Linked DNA regions of Drosophila melanogaster. The protein of the gene in region 1 interacts with the protein of each later gene in a pairwise test. Each region holds a gene or a part of one and is shown in the gene's direction. Other genes may lie near its edges.

The links. The genes of interacting proteins can lie anywhere in the genome.
Region 2: the proteins of Srrm1 (region 1) and CG31211 interact in a two-hybrid assay, tested with the Drosophila melanogaster proteins (one large-scale study listed by BioGRID).

Annotation. Positions count from the first base shown.
Region 1 is NT_037436.4:13,034,954-13,038,708, forward strand, and holds the start of Srrm1 (Serine-arginine repetitive matrix 1), read left to right. Parts: upstream 1-1,867; 5' UTR 1,868-2,299; coding exon 2,300-2,311; intron 2,312-2,470; coding exon 2,471-3,705; intron 3,706-3,755. Other genes in the region: CG17672 (uncharacterized protein), read left to right, coding at 79-266, 342-499, 632-815, 965-1,148.
Region 2 is NT_033777.3:11,947,677-11,951,431, forward strand, and holds the start of CG31211 (uncharacterized protein), read left to right. Parts: upstream 1-2,003; 5' UTR 2,004-2,128; coding exon 2,129-2,678; intron 2,679-2,750; coding exon 2,751-3,108; intron 3,109-3,181; coding exon 3,182-3,335; intron 3,336-3,573; coding exon 3,574-3,755.

The DNA of each region.
Region 1 (3,755 bases):
GCCACAAATTGACCGTGTGAATAATCTGTTTTGGCCCGTTTCATAACCCATATCCGTACCGCTTCGTATCTGTTGCAGCACCTAACGGCTCTCTGCGTCCTCAGCATCGCACTCACCTGCGCAAACGCGGCATTGTGGCCAAGTTACAGCAGCGATGATGCGCCCCCCAGCCGCTGCAGCGGTGGGCGTGGCCTGAAGTACCTATCGGGCGATGCGCTGACGGACTCGCTGGACTGCCTGGGTCCCAATAATGCGCCATATCCGAGGTGAGTCAGTCATCTGGCATGGTAGTAACTTTCTTTTCTAACGCCCCTGTGACCATCCAATTGGGATCTCTGCAGCGCGGCCGTGGCGCGCACATTCTCCAACTGGAACGGAAACTCGCGACGTGGCCGCCAGAGCAAATTGCCCAGCACACTGGACCCAGCCATAACCACCAGTGCTCTGCTGAGGGCCTACGACGAGGTGAACAACGAGGCCGTCGGAAGCAGTCGCTATGGTAAGTCGGTCACCGCCACCTGATTGACCAAACCAATCGATCGAACCACCGCCTGATTGATTGATTGATTGATGGATTGATTGACTGACTACTTGATTGATTAATCAATCTCATCGCATCGCAACTCAACAGGTCGTTCGCTGAAGAACGCCACGCCGGCGCAGCAGTGCAAGAGCGAGACGCCGGCGCGCCTCTGCAAGACGCGCTACAATACCACGGCGCCCATGTACGGAGTGAGCCTCACCTCCGGCCAGCCGGTGACCATCGTCCAGAAGTTCCCCGATCTCCTGCAGCAGGTGGTCTTCGAAGTGTGCGAGTGAGTAATATTTTGGCACCCGATTAATATAAATCTTATTGGTATACCAAACAAATTGAATTCAAATAAGAAATTTACCCTTAACTTACATTACTCCACAATCTCCACTAGTTCTTCTTTTTAAAGCTCACTACTATGGTCAATTTCAGATCCTCTGAGTGCGATGTGGTCCGCGGCGAGTGTACGCAAACCTATGTGCCCTACCTGTTCCTGGTCATTCCGCTCGGCCCGGTGACGCTGACTGGCCAGGATTACGTGCTGGTGGAGAGCGGATGCGTGTGCAAGCCCAAGTACTCGACGGGCGCCGCCCAGGAGCCGAACATGATACCGTAGAAGGAGGAAACGAAGGAAGGCGAAGGCGGTAACCACCAGGAACACCAACAGCAACCAAAAGAACTGAGCGAGTTTTGGGTCGGAGCAGATCGGAGCCAAGCCGAGCTGGGCTGAACTGGCTGGCTGGCTGGCTGGCTTAATTAAAAGGAATTATTTTTTGTAGCGAAATCAATTTTGCAATGTTATTTAATGTTTTCCCCCCATCTCTCATTCTCCTTTAAATCCCACTCAGCTTTATAAAATTGAATTGAAATTTTGCTCGAAAAATAATCGAATCCTAATGTTAAGTCTAAATTTAAACAAAATTGATTAAATGCCTCTGTGCGTTTGTAGTGTGTATTTATTAGAACCCCTAATTACGGCATTCGAAAATGCTAAATAAAAACATTCGTTTCGAAATGTGACTGCAGTCGTTTAATTCCAAAGGGATGGAATATAAAATTGTTCAAAAGGATGGAAATATAATAATGAAACTATAAATAGAATGTAATTGCTATGGCTACGCACATACCGACATGTGCCTTAAATGATCTAGAAAATGTAGCTCTTTTATAGTAAAAATAGAAACCAATCTAAACAGATCATTTTAAAATTCGTTTTAAGTTTGAAAAGATTTAAAATGTAACGGTCGCATTTGAATTAAAAAAGACAGTTAACACCCTGTGCGCAGCGCTGCCAGATGCTCGCCGATAACATTTGCCGATAGTCCTGCGCTGGTCCGATTACTCGTGTTTTGGGCCGCTGCTGCCATCACTGGCGCAGACCGTTTTCACGAATATAATTTTTTATTTTGCGATAGTAAAGTGCTGAAAAATAGCCAGAAAACTGCCATTAAAGCTGTTCGCAACGACGACAGAACGCATTAGAGTGATAAACGCGCGAGCAGGGTGTTAAGATAGCGATTGTTTCGGGCCAAAGGCATCGCATCTCCCCGGCCATCACACATACGGCGAAAAGACGCTGCGCGAGTGTGTGTGTGCTCCTGTAGACGACAATCGACTTGCGTGGTGCCGGGTTACATATTTTTATTGGATTTTTGACTCGCCCTCGCTGCGCTAGAAAACAAATGTGCCTGGCCTAAAGTTGGGCCACAAATTGGCGGCAGTGCACCGAAATTCCCGCAGGACTCTAATCACAAATACGCAGCCAAGATGATGTTCACGGTAAGCCAAAAGCGTCGACACCCCCCCGCAAACTAATCGATAAATGGTTTTTCAATACATTGCCCATTCGTTTGTGATAATTTATTCCCCCTTTTTTTTAAATGGAATATCCTGCAAATATGTTTATTTTTCACCCCGCCCCCCCGCAAAATCAAATAGGGCACCAATCAGCAGCAGGACACGCGGTTCAGCGACAAGGAGAAGAAGCTGATGAAGCAAATGAAGTTCGGCGATTGCCTGAACAAGAGGGTGGATATGTCGAAAGTCAAGCTGGACGTACTGCGTCCGTGGATCAGCAAGAAGATCACCGACATCCTGCACATCGAGGACGACGTGGTCGTCGAGTTTGTCTACAATCAGCTGGAGGAGGAGAAGTATCCGTGCCCCAAGAAAATGCAGATCAATATGACGGGCTTCTTGAACGGCCGAAATGCCCGCCAGTTTATGGGTGAACTTTGGGCCCTGCTGCTTTCGGCACAGGAAAGCGATTCGGGTATACCAGCGGAGTTTATACAGCAGAAAAAGGACGAGATACTCAAACGGGAGGAGGAACAGCGGCAGCGGGATCGATCGAGATCCCGTTCGCGTTCCCGCTCCCAACGAGACAGTTCTAGGCGAGATCGGCAGCGTGACCGCTCCAAATCCAAGTCCCGCTCCAGATCCCGCTCAATGAAGCCGGCCAACAACAACGGTTCGGTGCCCAGTGCCGCACGAGAAGCGGCCGCCAATGCGGCTGCCAAAATCCGTAAACGCGGCTCCTCCTCCGCCGCGCGTCCCGGCTCCAGGGAGCGGAGATCCAGCCGACGACCACGTTCTCGTTCACGTTCACGCTCGCGAACCGCCGGCAAAAAGACAGGCTCGGTGGAGCCCGCACCCGCCAAGACTGTCAACGGCCGCCACTCGACGGACAAGTCCTCGCCGGTACCGCCGGCCTCCAAGAACAAGTCGCGCTCCCGTTCGCATTCCCGGTCGCGATCGCCGCGCAGTCGATCTCGATCGCCCAGCGCCAAGCGGTCACGTTCCCGCAGTTCCTCGCGACGCAGTCGCCGACGAGGACGCTCCAGCAGCATATCTTTGTCGCCGGAGCGCAACCAGGATCAGTTTGAGCACCGACGCAACAAGAACAGTGTGCAAAACAAGCGGCAATATCGCAACAATCGCGGGGACTCGGCTAGTTCAATGGAGCGCGGTAACGATCGAGGCAGGCAGTTTGGCGGTGGCGGAGGTGGTCGTCGAGGTGGCAGACGCTTCTCCCCGCGAGGACGCAGTCCGATGCGACAGGATAATGGCGGTGGCAACGGCGGCAATCGCTTTCAGCGATCCAATTCGCGTCGCAGGTCGAGATCCAGGCGGCTATCACGCTCGCCTATGCGTTATTCTCGCTCTCCAAGACGGTAAGTTGATTCTATTGCCTAACTAACAATGGCTTAACTAATTCAATCAT
Region 2 (3,755 bases), on another chromosome or scaffold:
TTCTTCGACTTCGCACCTCGCAAAGTGCCGTTATTCATTGACGAAGGGCAAAAGCAAACACACAAGCACACATTCAGAGGGGAGAAGAGAAGGAGAAAAAAACACAAACACTAAACATTTCAGCAATTCAATCATTCACATATGTATGTATTTATATTTCTTTTTTGTTGCTATTTAGCAATTATGCACGAGTTATCTCACGGTCAACTGGTTTTTTTCGAACGATTTTTTATTGTATTTTATACGAGTCGAATTTCGCATTGATGGAAATGCAAATAAACGCGCAGTGAGAAGAGAACATTTTCCGGGCCCCACAGCAAAAGGAAAAAGAAAATTCAAAACGGCACGCGACGCACGAACTTAATTATTTACTACGTGTGTGTGCGTGTTGTTGCACAACTACAATAAAAACTCAAAAAAAAAAAAATTAAATAAAAGCAAACAACAACGATCCAATGTCAGAGAACCACCCACACGAATTGAAAAGTCAAACGGACAAATTGAATTTCGGCCTGCAATTTACGCTTTTAATTAAATCATTAAAAGGGGGCACAAAGATTACGATTACGCCATTACAGAGCACACAGAAAATCAAGATCTGCGTATGATACCAAATTTCTGAGATTAAGTTGATATTTCATTTTTTTTTATTTTATTTTGATGGTTGAAAGATTGATATAGATAAAGACGTAAATTGAACTTTTGTTTCCTTAACATGACAAAGAAACTTGCAACCACTAAATATTTGTATATATTTTCAGTTAAATCGAATCACATGCTAAGTATATTAATAAAACGTTTGTCTTTGTAAAATCAACGAACTGTTGATCATCTATCCGTCCTGTTTTGCTCCCAGTGTAGCGGCAACAGTTGCACTGTTTGGTGTTTGGTGGCTCAAAAATGTAATTACGCACTCCAGTGCAAAAGCAATCGACAGCAAATTACATATTTGTAATGGTTTGCAATTGAACTGCTTTTAAAATTGAATAGCAATTAAATTGTTGCTTGGCAAACACGAACACACACAGCCCGAAAAAAAACCAGACAAACCACTACAGACAGACTCAGACACACACCGATAGAAACGCTGCTGCGCCGACGCAACTGCGCTGCAGAACTTCTCTTCCTCTTCTCCTTCTTCATCTTTTAATTTCTTTTACCTTTAACTATTATCTATTTTAGCATAATTTCATTCACACACCAGCTTTTGTTTGTATTGAAATTAGTCGCGGCGGCTGTAATTAAACAATGCGGTATTTCGAAACTCGCGCTGAGAACGACCGACAATAACACCAACACAGACAGGAGCGCGCCCTTCTCGCACGCACACAAATTTATTATAACACGTAAACAACAACGCCGCAACGCCGACGCAACTTATTTTTCCGGCAGCGACGCGTCCGCATACGTCCGCTCACGTTAAGTTCCGCAGAGAGAAGTTGTTGAAAACATAAACAGAATCACTTGTTGCACTCTTTGAGAAAAGTGGGGCTATTGCTGAAAAAACCAACTAAAAATATTGCAGGTTAGGGATACTCGCTCGATTGGCGTACGGCCACACTTTTGCGACTTCACTGTTAACCTCTACTTCATAGAGACTTTTACCCGATAAATGTTATGAGTTTGACTTTCTCTGTTAATCACAAGAAAAAATATTGTGGAAATTAAAATTATCTCAAATCAATAAAAAATAATAATATATACACCTATGTTTTATAGAAGTCAACAGTAAATAAGTTATTTGGAAAACCATTGTAGCCGTTTAAATAAATCTCCTTGAGTGTGTTTTAAATAACGGTCATTAAGTATATTACTTGGCCCTCTGAATTTCTTGAATTACACCATTTTTAGAAATAAATCAATCCAAAAGACTACTTTTTGGTGGCAAATGAACTGCATAAAAAGTAACAAAAGAAATATGTTTTTGAAATAACAGTATAGCTGAAGTGTATTAAAAAATACCGTCATATGAGCGACCCGCTGTTACCGCTTCGCTGCGAATGACAAAACGGGCTGAGCAAGAAAATGGCGTAGAAGGCGACGAAAATTCGTTTCACTCGTGAAGAAAACCTCGATAACTGAGGAATACAGCTGGGATTTAAAGAGCATATTCGAACTACAAGCAGAGATGTTTCCTGGTGGAAACGGAAACGCCGATTTGGGCTACAACAAGCATGCCCACGTCCATGGACTTGGACAACATGGCCATGGGCACAACCATAATCACAATCAGTTCCTGGCGCAGCCCCCACCACCCCCCACACATTTTTCACTGCCCTCCGGGGGCGGTCAGGGCATGGTGACGCCCATGGTAGCCGCCGGCCTGCCGCTCGCCATGCAGGGTGGCGTTGGCATCGATTGGGCGCAGCTCGCCCAGCAATGGATCCACATGCGGGACGCTACTCCGGTGCCCATGCCCCTGGCCCCTCCGCCGCCCATCATCAGCAATTTGCGAGAATACCACCAGCAGACGCTAGCAATGCCGGTGCCCAGTGTGGTCAGGGCGGGATTTCCGCAACTAGAGGAGCACGGCGAGGCGGATATGGACATGGACGATGAGAATGATCGGGGACATAGCACTGAGACACCCCCACCGCCAGCACCTTTGGTTACGCAATCCCAATGGCTGGCGGGCACCGAAGTGGCTGGTCAGATCCCAGACGCCTCCAACGGAGCGGGTTTGTAGAAGATCCAAGAAGATAGCACAATAAATCAGGTCAGCAACTAACCCTCCTCTCCGTTCCTTGCAGCTGTCACGCTGGGCAAGCAGCCATGGACCGGGTGGCAAATGCAGACCGACAAATCAGGCAATTCCACGGCGCATATACCATCTCTGCTGAAGCTGAACGTGAGCAATCCCAATGAGCCGCACCAACAGCTGCAGTTGCAGTTGCAAGCGCATCAGCAGCAGCAGCAGCAGCATGCTCCCCAACCAACGCATCCACACCATCCACCAGCACATCAGCCGCATGCACATCCACACCACCTAACACCACATACACACCTGCCGCCACAGCACACACAGCAGACGCATGCGGAAAGCGGAAGTAGCGGGGCTAGCAGTGAGATCGATGCAAACAAACGGAAAATGTTGCCAGCTTGGATAAGGTATGAGTGTGCAAAGAACCACAATAAGATGCACAAAAGATAGATACTTGTAATAATTTCCTTAATCTTTCAGAGAGGGCCTGGAGAAAATGGAGCGGGAAAAGCAGCGGCAACTAGAGCGCCAGCAATCCTCCATGACCACGCCAGATGTTGAGGTCAACCATGTTAAGCAAGTATCAAGCAAAACACTAACCACACCTGGTAATCTTTTGAACATCGCGAACGTGGTAAGTAAGGTCGATGGGCGGCAGGGTTAACTGACTCTCAATACGGACAGAAAAGTGCCGAAAGCGTAGCACACACCATCTCACACAAATTGGTTGCACAAAATTTAGACGGGACTGAACCAAACTGAAAACGATGTTTCGTCGTTGAAAGCACACAAAACTTAAAAACAATCCGGACAGTAGAGCAGACTGCAGGCTTGAGTGCAGGCTGTCGATTAAACATTCCCTTGAAATTCAGGCTAGCGACAGCGAAGATTCCATTGACGTGCCTGTGGAGGCGCGTGGAGAACTAAAGGTGCAGCAAATAGGTAATGAATTGATTAGTAAGGACGACGATCGAAGCAGCAGCAGCAGCGAAGAGCCAGAGTCGGAGCTGCATGGAGCCATCGAAACCGGCAATCGGACAGTGGCGGAGCACGT